Linked DNA regions of Mytilus edulis. The protein of the gene in region 1 interacts with the protein of each later gene in a biochemical or structural test. Links are inferred from orthologs where the notes say so. Each region holds a gene or a part of one and is shown on either strand. Other genes may lie near its edges.

The links.
Region 2: the proteins of leucine-rich repeat serine/threonine-protein kinase 1-like (region 1) and sorting nexin-21-like form a complex in vitro, tested with the Homo sapiens proteins (2 studies listed by BioGRID and IntAct, with this or other methods). The link is inferred for Mytilus edulis from reciprocal best matches to the Homo sapiens genes LRRK1 and SNX21.

What each region holds. Positions count from the first base shown.
Region 1 is NC_092347.1:2,554,944-2,562,261, reverse strand, and holds the start of leucine-rich repeat serine/threonine-protein kinase 1-like, read right to left. Parts: upstream 3,023-7,318; 5' UTR 2,942-3,022; coding exon of another isoform or gene 2,893-2,941; 5' UTR 2,082-2,892; coding exon 2,033-2,081; intron 203-2,032; coding exon 1-202.
Region 2 is NC_092348.1:5,570,078-5,577,856, reverse strand, and holds the start of sorting nexin-21-like, read left to right. Parts: upstream 1-4,765; 5' UTR 4,766-5,045; coding exon 5,046-5,190; intron 5,191-7,779. Other genes in the region: myoneurin-like, read right to left, coding at 2,585-4,765. UniProt on the Homo sapiens protein: Binds to membranes enriched in phosphatidylinositol 3-phosphate (PtdIns(P3)) and phosphatidylinositol 4,5-bisphosphate. May be involved in several stages of intracellular trafficking.

The DNA of each region.
Region 1 (7,318 bases):
ACAATCACAATATCAACACAAATATCTTCCACTGTACAAGCATAATTCAGTAATGGTAAATCCTCAAATAACGGTACTGTTAGGATATCACGGTCATCTCCACTATCCTCCCATTCGTCCAGTACACTGACCAGTCCATTTTCCAAGGTTTCAGCATTGCCAGAGTTGATCAACCTTATAATATTTGTTACATTCACCATATCTATAAATGAAATGTTTGGTCTATTAGTTTTGATAATTGATGATATATTATTGATTAAAATTAACAAACTTATAAATACTGTGGCTTTATTATACTCCGTTTAATACAAATCTTTTGAGTTTTGGGGTATACAGGTGAAAATTTAAATGTTCAATGAATTATAATTGTTCAAAGACTTTGGAAAAACGAAAGTAAATATCCATGAAAACGCAAGTTTTCGTCGAAAATAGATACTCATGAAAACAAACGAAAACTACAGTAGATCTATGCATTAATACATACACTAACAGTGTTTCAGCACAGAACCATAGAGATTAATATCAAGTATGTTACTGAATTTGAAATGTATCCCATCTAATTTTATGGTATATATCTTGTCTTTAAAAACTTTCTATCTAAACTAGCTATTTCTGTTTTCATTAGGAAATTTCATCATTTCAGAATCAATTTCAGAATCTAATGTGTTCTGTAAAATATTCTAACCTCTTTTGATTCCATAACCTCATACTAAACATGCTAAAAGATTTGACTTTCAGGAAATGCATTCTGACCTTGACACAATCTAATCATGCTAATGTTTGGTGTGTTTATTTTAAATATGATTATTTGAAGTGGCCAGCGTACTAAAAGATTTGACTTTCAGGAAATGTATTCTGACCTTGACTAATATCTAATGTGTGGTGTGGTTATTTTACAAATGATTATTTGAAGTGACCAGTGTCCAATGTAACTGATTACAAATGAAAGCCAAGAACAAGTTTCTTTGATAATATGCCAGGCTCTTTGAATCATATGTATGACCGTTCCTCAAAATTTTCAACTGGATTTACATAAATGTTATGTTGTAAAAACATTGAAACAGATTCAAACAGAGAATTATGCTAAAGTTTGATTCTTTAAATGTCCATTGAGGCTTAATTTGTATAGTTGTTTAAAAGTTGATTATATCATGGATGAAAAATCTTTCTTTCTTTATTTCCATATGATTTTAAAGGAGTAGTAAACTATGATGTACTTTACCAAAAATATAAATGTATTACTTAATCATGTTAATTATACATTGTTATAGGGAAAATAATTCTCATATTTCGAAAACACTTTAAAAAATGCATCTAGTGTCATTCAGGTTATAAGTAGGACAGGTGCAATTTACTCATATTTCAAGTTTTCTCAGGATAAAAAAACATAAATATGTAAAAATGAAAATAAGAAAATAAGAAAAGAGGATGAAAGAATTTAAAAATTTAATAATATATATATGAAGTATCTTTAACACTACATTATAACTTTCAGGAAATGAAAATGTCAATTCAAATGAGGTCATTATTGTGGTTTTCTAAGATTCATAACAAATCGAATCAATTTTACATTTAGTTATAAAATGAATCAAACTTACTAACACACCTGCCATAGTTTAAACATGTTAAATTTACAGAAAATCAAGAAAAAACAACAAAACACTAGATAGAAAACTGCAGACTGCAAGCAACATGAACCCTATCCAAAACTGTGGTAACATACCATGTAAACTTATTTGCTCAATGCCTACTTCAAATATTAAGTATAGTTTGTGTTGCATTATAAATCTGGTAAAAATCTACATAGATCAATACAGAAGTCATTGTATATATTTACTTTCATACTCCTTAATTTTTTTTTAGAGTACATCAAAGGTTTACAAAACAGTTTGATGTCTTCAAAAGAAAGTCAAATTGTTTTATAGTATATTATATATATATAGACATCATAGTAGTAACGACAATGTTTTTTTGTTATCTATTTTAAAAACAAACAAAGTATATACCACTCTCAGATAACAACTGAACATACCATAGATCCACTGACTTGCTCTTTTAGTAAATTCTGAATATCTGGCCATTTTCCTTTGGGTAATTCAGTTAGAATATTCATAAAAATTTACAACTTTAGAGAATTTTCTGACTTCAACTTAAGTTTTGATAATGGTACATCTGAGAAAGTTTATAATTGACTTCATGCAATTAATAATCTATATTAATGAGTATATTCCTGCATGCCAATGTTATTCAAACCTGTAAAATAGCTAATAAAGATGAATCTACTTTATCCCTTCAACACACCACCGACGGTTGGTCACATTTTATGTCTTGTTAACATTTTATCAAATATCAATTATCATAAATATTATCGTTGATGTTTATCTGATTATACACATATATATCCCAGTCATATCTTAAGACAAATTAAAAGTTCACATTGTCAGGTTGTCTTAGTAGATTAGGTCAAACTTTGACACTTCATTAGTAATTGTGGTACTATGTATAAAACGGAGAAGAAGTCTTTCAATACAACATCTTTCTGCTTTAATACACATGTATCTATCACATTTCATTATAATCTTTATAACTATAATTTCAATGTCTGTACCAGTATATATAACTCAATCAATAAAAAACTTCTTCTCAAACAATATAAAACTACTTATATAATTCCTTGATTGCTTTTAAATTCCAAAGTCTGAACAGAGCTGCTAATTTTAGATACTATCCTAAAGAAACTAAATCCATGCATCTGCATCAAAACTTGAAAACTGAGTCTATATAAATAAGCACATGTTCCTACTTCCTAGATGTTAATATGATGTTGATTCACATGTATAAAAATATGTATTCCTCTGCAATTAAGTGTAAAAAGTTTACAGCAATACGTACGGCTGTCATTTATATTCTTTATATGTAATATTGTAACAACGAACCACATCGCATGCACAGGTTTCCAAGTTTAAAATAACCTAAGTATTAACACAAATATCTGTCATTTGTGTGTACACATTATAGGAAGACAGATATACTTCCTGAATGAGTTAAATACACATATTTCTAACAGTTGAAGTACTTTATTCAAAGATTGAGATTTAAATCCATTCACCCACATTAAACGGGGGTTTTAGTTTGTAAAGACTCACAGGAAAAAAATGCATTGTGCATGTCCTAATTATTTAACCCATAATGAGTTTACTAATTATTTTATGTGACAGATATTTAGGCATCAGTAATCAAGCTAAAAGTGTACTATTTTTTTCCTTCAATTCAGTAAATTTAGTTTTAATGGGGTTTTTTTATCATTAAACTAGTATACTCTCCTGTATAATTATAGTGTGGTCCTAACATTTTCCACAAACATGTGGAGAACCAAGATATATCGATAAATAGATATCAAATGTCTACAAATTATATAAAAATTATTCTAATGTAAGAAAATATTAATCCTTTATTAATTATTATGAGCTAGAATAATATATAACAGCTCTATATAATATAATATTGTGAAGCACTCTGAAATATTTTGAACCTATTTGCCACAACTACATGCAATAAAATAATATATATAAATCAAAGAGCTGATAGCTCTGAGGTGGAAAAAGGTGAATAAAAGTTTACTTGAATTACCATAAAAGCAGCCCCACTAACCCAGCCTGCTTTGGATTTTTTTCTTCAAACAAGAATGTGTCATAAGTACATGGATTTCCCATCTGTACAATCATTTTCTATGTTCAGTGGACTGTGAAAATTTGGTAAAATCTTTAAAAAACTTCATCAAAAACTACCTCGGCAATAAACCTTAACCTGAAGCAGGACAGACGGACAGACTAAAACATAATGCCCATAATGGGGCATAAAAATAGTAAGACTTGTTACATACCTGCCAACTTTTGAAAGTTCCCATCAGGGTTTTTAGTGCGGGACAACAATTTTAAAGGTTACAATTTTTAGCTAAGTGCACGATCTGGATTGTCTAGAAAAAGTGTCATATTTGTATGATGAACTTACATGCCTTTTTCTTAAGTCTGTTTGCATGATTCTAGTTATTAAATCGTTAGAAAAGATGAACATGTAGCCAGCAGACCAGGGTTTATTTTCTTGTGTAAGAATATTAGATGCTTGTTGAAATTTCCAATTTTGAATTATGCACAAAGATGGACCTTTAACAGGTTGGGAACAACACTCCAAATGAGGGGTAACCCTCATTGGAAGTACATTACAACCCACTGTAAAAAATGAGCACCTTTATATTCATATTATTTGATGAAACTTTTCGCTAAGAACTATGCATCTATCAAGTCTTAATTGGTCAAAACATGTTAAAAAAATTTTGTGATGTTTCTATAAACTTACATCTTTTTTTATTAATTTGAACCCTCATTTCGAAAAGTTGTTCCAAATACAATGAATTTTCCCACTATCTTAAAAATGTTCTTTCTTATTTTTTTCAACAGTAAAATTACACCTTGATTTAGGGACAGTCCCTCATTTGAAGGACACCACTCATAATGGGTGGGGGGGGGGGGTCTTCGTGAAAGAAAAAATAGTATATTGTCCTTTAAATGATTTAATTGAATACAAAAATAAAATATGTTACAACATGTATTATGTCAAAAAATTAGTGTAAAAAATACTATTAATCATCTTTATGGTAGTAATGCATCATTGAATTTTGTCAATCAGCCATGCTTTTATCCTTCAGCTGTGTAAGAACCTGCTTGCAGATGAAAATTCACATGCCATTTTCACGATTTTACAACTAGATGAAAACTACACTCCATACAGCGTTATCGTTCGGGTCATACTTCCCTTTCTCTACAAACAATGTAAAGAAGCGTAGTTAGATGTCACCACTTTTTCAGAGTTTGGATAAAATCAAAACAACACAAGTTCATCGTGAGTAACACAGAATTTGATTGGCTGAACACGTTTGTTTTACAAGGAACACGTTTTTTAGAGGGTTTTTTAACGATACCCTTAATATTAAATTTTTTTAATAAATGCAATGAATTATTATAAACGTCCTTGATAAGAGTAAAAAGAATGAACACAGGGCTGTACGGGCGAAAGAACTCAGGACGAACAGACCAAGGGCAAACATGTAAACAGGGCAAGTTGTCCCGATACCCAATTCAGGCATGTGTACTACAAATATCGACAGTAAAAACATCCGGTTACAAGGAAACAAATGTAGATGGGATGAAATCTAATAATTTACATAAATAAAAGGGTACATATTTACGATTGTGATTGTCTTTCAATCCTAATTTACAAATTAAATGATTCAGATGCTTACTTTATATGTTAAATCGGTGTCAGGAACCGAAATATTTAACGGAATAAATTGTAATATACAGAAACGAATGCAGCATACGGAGAATCAATGATTTTAAGTCAGCACCATTGGCCTTCAGAAGACTTGAAGTCTTCTTCCACCAAAAATTTTCTGGTAAAGCATGTTTGTTGAATTGAAAAAATTTTAACTTATATATGTGTAAAAAATATTTTCCTGCATCAGTTTTTTGTAGCGTCATATTTTGAAATACAACTAAGTATACATTTTTTGTTCTTTAGGGGGCACTAGCTGTCAAATTTGTGTTTACTGATTTGACTCAAATTCTCATATTTGATTTAAAATCATGTGAAAAGGCTAAAATAAACAACTTACAGGGCATGGACTCAATTATATGTAGCTTTGTTTATGTCTATTTTAGTCTATAAGCCATCTAATTAACTATCTAGTTGACCTCCGATAAGCGATATACACATGAATATAGTTATAAATAGATATCAAAATGATGCAATTGGATTTTTCTAAGTCTGTTTAATTTAATTTTATAGATTAAAAATAAATGTTAATCATTGTCTTTACCTGTATGAATGATTTTTTTAATGGATCGAAGCAGTCAATCAAATAATTTACCTTCGTTTTACTTTCAATGTTGACATTCTTTTCCTTTAACTTACTTTACACGCACAGTTCATTTTTATTCATTTCTATCTAAAGGGGTTAAATTGAAGTGATATGAATACAGATTCAATGAAATTGAATTGTTTACTTGCAAGTGAATAATTCATCGTCAATATTTCTTAGCTTATTTCGACAAAATTAAACCAGACTTGCTGCTTAAAGCGAATTATAATTTCATTTTTTCACTTTCCTTAATGATTGAACAAAAAAAATCATATTTTAAGGAGGTAGACCTAGGTGAAGGGAAATAACTCTTAAAATCATCAGTACGTTTGTGTCAACCATTTTCAAAAAACATATTCTAAGCTTCTAGGTTACATAGATTATTTTCAATCTGTTTCAGGTAAATGCTTAAAATACATTGATGAACTTGACTTTTACAAACGCTTAACTGATTTAAAGAGTTATCTCCCTGAACCAAGGTCTACCCCCTTAAATTTTATCTGGTAGCTTGTACCGTTTTAATCATAATTTCTATACATGCATAAATGATTAATTCCACGAGAGTTAATTTTTTGTGGGAAATTATTTTTTTGTAAGAAAGTAATCGATGTTCTTAATAAATTATTTTTCATTGAGATTTTAGTTTGCTTTTACAACATTTATTTTAAGAGGTCAGAATATACAGAGCAGTTGAAAAGCTATGAATCTGAAGAAGCACCAAACAATAGATTGAAGTCCCTACTGAAAGCCTGATACCAAGTTTCAGGAATCTTTGTTTTCAAGTTCCTGAGATAAAAGTGACAAAATTGAACTGGACCTTTATGTTTAGTAAACCCATAAAACATTCCATAGATGATTTGGTGAGAATTAGATTCTAAAATACAATTTCAAGCAATTTTCTGTTTTATCAAGGGGCATAATTCTCAAAAGAAAAAAGTAAAATCAGTCAAATTCAAAAAGATTCTGTGGTTGACAAATTTCAATAGATTTGGTAAATTAAAGCTTACTTTAAGTTTAATACTTAAATAAATCCTTCATAAACAAAAAAAAGGTTATTTCCCATTTTATCAACTATATGATTTCTCTGAAATTCTCTGAAATCATAAAAAGTGAATGAATATAAACTGAATCTACATTATGAACAAAAAATAATCTTTGTCCTGCTAGTTTAATTAAGGGGAATACCTAATGAAAATCAAATGTGAAATTGGTCAAATTCAAAAACAAAATTTCAAATATGAAATGTGAAATGATATAGTAGATGCCTTCTTAAGTTTATGTCTGGAAACCAATAAAATACGGTAAGCTATTTTCTGTTTTATAAAGGGACATAATTCTGAAACTAGAGGCTCTCAAGAGCCTGTGTTGCTCACCTGTTACTGTATTTACTGATGTCGGCCA
Region 2 (7,779 bases), on another chromosome or scaffold:
GTGCTGAAAGATCGATATATCAGTAACAGTCATACCATATCTTATTATTAAGGACTTTCATCTGTTCATCTCTATAGGATTTGCAAACTTTCTCTTTCACACACATAACTTGATTAGTGATCTTGTTTTATTTTCAGGAAAATTACAATTCCATAAATAAGTGCCTTAAGCAAATTTAGAATGTATATTCCTAATACAGTACTCAACTCAAAAACTTAAATTTGACCACTGACCCATGAAAGGAGGTTAAGGTCAGATGACACATGCACGTTGGACATGTGCAACTTACAATCCTTCCAAACACTAAATATACTAGACCTATTGCTTATAATATCTGAGATATGGACTAAACCACCAAAACTTGTTCACTGTTGGTTGAAATGAGACTATGCGGTATGGGCTTTGCTCATTGTTGAAGGCCATATGGTGACCTACAGTTGTTAATGTCTGTGTCATCTTGGTCTTGTGTGGATAGTTGTCTCATTAGCAATCATATCACATCTTCTTTTTATATTATCCTATTACTCGTAATTCAAGAGAAATTATCTTTACAAAAAAAATTAACTTTTTTTCAAGTAGTCACTGAACCATGAAAATGAGGTCAAGGACAATGGACATATGACAGATGGAAACTTCATTACATAAGGCATCTATATATAAAGTATGAAGCAACCAGGTGTTCCACCCTCTAAAATATAAAGCTTTTACGATGTAAGCTAAAGCCATAGCCACCATGTTGAGTTTTCTGCCACAAAAGTCACAGGCTTGACAAAAATAGGTGCATTCTCCGAAATGTCTTGGCTGCTTTATTGACCATTAGTTTTATGTTGAAAGTCTTAAAGATCTAAAGTATCACATAAACTTCACATTTTTAATGATCCATAACAATGACATCAAGGTCAGATAAATTCTGTCTGGTAGACATGTACACCTTACAATTATTATATACACCAAATAAAGTTTGATCTACTGCTTATGGTAATTAAAAAACAGACCAAAGCACAAAAAAATAACATTGACCAATGAACACTAAAGATAAGGTCAGGGTCAGATGATGCCAGCCTGACAGACATTTTCGTCTAACAATCATTCCTACAACACATATAGCTGACCTACTGCTTAAAGTACTTAAGCTCAGTGGAAAAAATGCATGAAAATTTGAACCAGAAGTGAGTTGGACAGACCTGCATAGCACAAACCGAATATTGACTAGTTGTTACTAATGAAAATGAGGTCAAGGTCAGAGTTAACCTGCCAGACTGACATGCACCCCTTACAATCATTCCATACACTACATGAAGTTGGCCTACTGCTTATTGTATCTGAGAGACCAATTTGATAACACAACTTTTACCTTGATCACTCATCCATTTGTTCCACTTTGGAAGGTGCAGTTAAAAGTCTCACAGACAGGTATTGACTGAATATGTTAATAAGTTTTGAGATTCATCCCAAAAGGGTCTTTTTAGAATGACTAGATCTCTGCATATGAACTTCTGAAAATAAGTATATCAGTTGATTTGCTTAAAGAAAACATACATGTGGTATGCTTGTGTGATATTTGCTTATTGTTGAAGGTGGCCTGTGTATGTAATCAATAAGTTTTCTCACTAGCAATCATTTCACAAATTCTTATCTTTATACAGTGACAGTGTGTGTATTAAAAGGTATACAATTCCTTTATTGTATAAGTAAAATTAATATTGAAACTCTGATCATGCCGACAAAGAACATAGTTCATCCAATTCAAGAGAAGTATACACAGACACATATATGCAGCTGCTGTACATGTTTGATAAGTACATGTAATACAAAAGGTCAAATAAAAGGATTAATTTCAGTTTCCACCATGATAAGCTGATTTTTGTTTATATTGTTTTCTACATCTGTACAGTAAAGGGAGACAAGTCATACTATTTTAAAAGAGTTTAAAAAAACACTATATAAAACCATGAAATTAAGGCAAATAGTATTTCATCTTCAAATAGTCATTGAGAGATGTGCTAAATTGACTAATGATTGATTTTTCTCCAGGATATTTAACCTATGCAATCAATACAGATATCATAGAGATTCAAGATTAACAAGTTAACATGGGTTTACCTTAGTAACAAAGCAGTTTGCCACCTCCATGACCTCGTTGACTTTTACCTAATAACCCTCTTCATTTTGTACATACACAGGTGTATGGAATATCTATTAAACATATAATGTACAAAGTGCCTGTACACAGTCAGGAACCTTGTTTTTTATGGATTTTTTTTCATTAAATGTTTTTTTGGAAATAAGTGTTGCATCCTTTTTGCTGAACAAGTTTAAAATATTATTGTTTATGGACCAGGTCAGTTGAAGCCGTCTCTGAGTGGTATAATTTTCATGTGTCAAAGACCAATTAGTGGCATTGGCTGTGTTCTGCTCATCATTGCTCATTGGTCAAGTTGTTGTCTCTATAACACATTCCGTATTCCCACTCTCAATTCTACATTAAACATGTTAAATAGAACTTTATGAAATATAAAAATTATTTGTCATAAATAATGTTATTTTAATATATATATACAAGTCTTCAAGTAACAAGTAACAATTAGTTTTCAAGCTTAGTTATCAATTGATATGGTATTTCAAATTTAGATGCCACAAGAGTGATAGGTACAGATTCTCCTCCAGGTTGCTGTATGTATACTTTTGTCTCTAAATCATTCAATGATATCTGGCCTAAACTTATATCAGAATTCTCAATATGAATAACACTAGGCATGCTAGGCATTGGAGGCTCTTCTTCATCAGGAGGAACTAAACTTTTTGGATAATCAGAAAGTCTAAACTTTTTGCTTGGTGCCACTCCATGACTGTGAATTTTGAGCAAATGTTCTTTTAACTTATCATACCTTGTTGTTGCAAAGTTACAAACTTCATGAAATTTACATTTATGTGGTCGCACATCAGTGTGAAGTAATGCATGTCTGTTTAAATTTTTTTTCAATGAAAAACTTTGCCCACATATTTCACATTGATGAGGTTTTTCCTGAGTATGTGTTAGTAAATGATATTTCAAACTCTGCTTTTTTATTGACTGGAATTTACAATTTGGATATTCACATTTATATGTGTCTCCTGTATGAATGAGTTTATGTGCTTTTAATTGACTTTTGTGAGCAGTTGCAAATCCACAAACATCACACAGATGATCTTTTGTTTCACTATGAGTGGCCATGTGGCATTTAAGTGCATGTTTCCACTTGAATCCAGTTTGACAAATTTCACAGATAAAAGGTTTAACAGTTAAATGTTTTGGAAGATGGACATTTAACTGAGCTCGAGTTTTATATTTGCTGTCACAATAAATACAATGAAACGGATTGGGTGGTTTATGAATTAGGATGTGTTCAAGCAGTGAGTCTGAATTTTCTGCTTCAAAATCACAAAAACTGCAAATATTTTCAGCATGTAGATGTTCTTGAATGTGTGTTTGTAAAACTTTGTATTTGTAAGATGAAAAATCACAGCGATCACATTTATATTCTTTAATATCACTTCCTTCAAGACGGTCTCTATCATTCTGATGAGCTTTAGTATGTCTATTATATTGATATGACGAGTTTGTAGAATATGGACATTCATCGCAGTTGTGCCATATATTTTCAAGCTTTGGCTGATTTTGGGAAGATTCATCCCCTGTTTCATCAACCACAAGAGCATCAGAATCTGATTCAGCATCATCTAAAAATTTTGATGGTTTCTTTCCTCTATTTTTTCGTGAAGGAAATCTGCCCTCTGTCTGTTCAATGTAAGTTCCTTTTCTGTTTTTCAATGTTTCAGTATTTTCTAATTTTATGCGTTTACAATTTGTATCTTCATGACTTTCTTCATGGATGTGCTTGTGATTTGATTCAGGTGCTTTTGCTGTTGGATTTTCTTCTACCTTATCAGTTTCACCTTTTCTTTTCATTTGCTTTTGTTCAATAAGGGCATTAAGTTTAGCATTTTCTGGTAGTGGTGGGCGGCCTCTTTTTCTGTGTGTTACTCCAAGTAATGAAATATTTTTCTTGCCATCCTTTTTCCTGTCCATAAGAAATGCGCCTGATTTTTTAATAAGTTTCTTGTATTTTTCTGCTGCTTGTATTTTACAATCTTTCACTTTTGGACCCTCGATTTTCTCTACATAGTCTACATTAAAATGTTCAAGATTTCGAACTTGCTTTTTTTTGCACCACATGTCAAAAACTAAGTCAATATCACATGTCTGAACAGATTTATTGTCTAAAAATGTAAATTGCGGTTCTGTCTGAGTTTGAACAGGTGTAGTTTTAGCTATTGATATGTCGGCATCTAATTGATTGCCAGATTCAAATGTATTGCAAAATTCCAAAACTTTTTCTATTTGCATAATTTTTGCAATTTCTACAACCTGAACGAGGCAATCAGAGTCTAATGTGATGTTGCTGGTGTACATATAATCAAGTACTAACGACACGGCCGTTGTAAATCCTTGGTTATCACAATCACCGTCAATGTGTATTTCGATAACTTGTGGGATTTTCTGTGAAAATGCCCTCGGGTGATCCTGACCCTGTCCTAAGAACGCACCGAAATAAGGGCTGGTTGCTGCTAGTACATTTGAATGTGCATAGAATTGTTCTTTTCCAACTCGCAAAATCACATCACAGAACCGTCGTGCCTTTCTCTGATCATTTAATAGTTGTATGACAGACTTATATTGGTTTTCACAAAAGAATGTTTGAGCTTTGGCAACAGTCGACGCCATCTTGCAAGGATACTTTTTCGAATTTGATTGGTTATAACGGATTTTGTCGTATAAAAATATGTTAAATTATATTCAAAAAGTAAATAAGACCTATTTGTATTTTTATCTGATTTCAAAAGTCTTGATTTTTCTCCCTTCTGTAAAAATAGATATTTGTTCAAAGTGACCGCTCCTGCAACCGGAAGTAACTGTGAAAAATGTAAACAAAGAAGGAAAAAAATATGACTATGGACTAGTACATGTATAATGCAGCTGCAGCTGTCATTCAAATATTTAAAAAATGCCTTTAAAGAGATTAGACTGCAATGATTGTCATTCAGAAGAAATACAGGACGAGCTGTTAGCAGATGATTCAGATGTCTTTGACAATAGGAGCTCCAACTTAACCCTAGAAATAGGCTTGGGAGACAGAAATGAAGAACCATGTAAATGATAACAATTAACCTATCCATCCATAATCTTTAATGTATGAGTGTTACAGATTTTTTTTCCTTAAAATTTAAAATTAGGAAATTAAGATCTGCCAATACACCTCACAGCTAATCAGCTATTCCCGGCTGACCTGAGAAACTGTAGCTTCTTCTTGTTCTTCCAAAACAGTGCAGTCCTCTAATTGAGTATTATAGCACATTTGCACATGCTGGGAGTGACAACAAAGGTGCAAGAAAGTATTTACCGGTGCAAGTTAAAAACAGTCTGAAGCCGTGATGGTGTGATTAAGGGATACTGCAGCTCAGTACCCCCTGCTTGAAAGAATCTAGTGAGGTACTGTCCACCAAAGGTTGTGGGAGGCTGTTCCATATCCATATGCTGTCTGGAATGAAGGAATGCCTGTATGTTGAAGTTCTGGCATACGGTACAAGACATCATGTTGTGTGTCCTCTTGCTACGGATGATGTTGTGTGTAGGTCTAGCGTTGGTATTGCTACGAGGCCATTTACTATCCTGTACATCATTATGGCTTTGCAGTTGGCCTCCTCTCAGCTAGTGGTTGCCACTGTAGTGTTTTTAGCATTGATGTTACATTGCTGGTTTATAATGGTAGTTGCTCAATACAAACCGGGCTGATCTTCTATGCACACTTTCTAATTTCTGTATGTTCAGGTTGGAGAACGGGTCCCAGACTATGGGGGAAAGTTGGGATCCCGCTAACATGTTTAATCCGTCGGCGTCACATTATTTATGCATGTGCCTGGCCCAAGTCAGGAGCCTGTAATTCAATGGTTGTCGTTTGTTTATGTGTTACATATTTGTTTTTCGTTCTTTTTTGTATACAAATTAGGCCATTAGTTTTCTCGTCTTAATTGTTTTACATTGTCATATCAGGGCCTTTTATAGCTGACTATGCAGTATGGGGTTTGCTCATTGTTGAAGGCTGTATGGTGACATATAGTTGATAATGTCTGTGTCATTTTGGTCTCTTGTGGATAGTTGTACATGTCTCATTGCCAAACATGCCACATCTTCTTTTTATATGAGCATGCATACTCAAGCAATGGTCTTACTAGCGTTGTGTAGCATACAGCTTTTGTTTGTTGGGGACAGTGCTGAGGATTTCTTTGGATGAAGGACCTGGTTGAATAAGCCTTTTTAGCTATATACTCTCTATGTGGGTGTTCCAATTAATAGTTTTGTGGATTGTGCCGTCTAGATATTTTCCTGAGTCAACCAGTTCTAAATTGTGCCCATGAATGTTGTAGCTTGTTAGATGTGGTTTGCACTTGTTGGTAAGGCGTAGCAGTTGGCATTTGCTGGGATGGAATTTCATTTGCTAATCAGATTCCCATCTAAGCAAGTTGTTCATGTCTTGTATACTAGTATATAGTAACTGGCATCATTTTGGATCCTGCTGTACAGTACGCAGTCATCAGCAAATAGACAAATGTTGATGACTAAACATACATGTAGTCTGGTAGGTCGTTGATGACTAAACATACATGTAGTCTGGTAGGTCGTTGATGACTAAACATACATGTAGTCTGGTAGGTCGTTGATGACTAATAATAATAATAAAATTGAGAATGGAAACGGGGAATGTGCCAAAGAGACAACAACCAGACCATAGAAAAAAACAACAGCCGAAGGTCACCAACAGGTCTTCAATGTAGCGAGAAATTACATGTAGTCTGGTAGGTCGTTGATGACTAAACATACATGTAGTCTGGTAGGTCGTTGATGACTAAACATACATGTAGTCTGGTAGGTTGTTGATGAAGGAACATGAGTGGTCTCCTGTGGTACTCCTGATTAGACTGGTGCAGTGTCAGATGTTTGGTACTCCTGATTGGACTGGTGCAGTGTCAGATGTTTGGTACTCCTGATTGGACTGGTGCAGTGTCAGATGTTTGGTACTCCTGATTAGACTGGTGCAGTGTCAGATGTTTGGTACTCCTGATTGGACTGGTGCAGTGTCAGATGTTTGGTACTCCTGATTGGACTGGTGCAGTGTCAGATGTTTGGTACTCCTGATTGGACTGGTGCAGTGTCAGATGTTTTACTATCCACAACGACTCTCTGATTTCAGGAGCTGAGGAAGTCCCTGATCCATTGGAGTGTTGGCCTGTTTTTAACATAGTACTCTTCTTTGTACAGAAGTCTCTTGTGTCTGACTTTATCGAATGCCTTGGAAAAATCAAAACAATCAAAACAAAACCACTTGAACTATTGACTTCACACAACAATCACTTTTCTAGTGTGGTGTCAGTTATTTTGTATTATGACGTCAACATTTACTGGAAAACCTGTATGATGGCCAGTAATGGCGGACAAATAGCGATAAGGTGTATTTTACCCTCTTGCTGTTGGTAGTTTTTTAAGGTTGCATTTCCTGTGTCAGGAAATCTGACAGCTTGATGTCTGTGACGTCACTTGCCCAACAATGATGTCATTTGATATATAGGAAGTGACACCATAATAACCATTGCATGTGGGACCCATTGCAAAAAATATAACACTGTTTAATATCAGATCTGTCTCCAGGTCTGTTTGTCTGTGTTACAAGGCAGTGTGTTTAC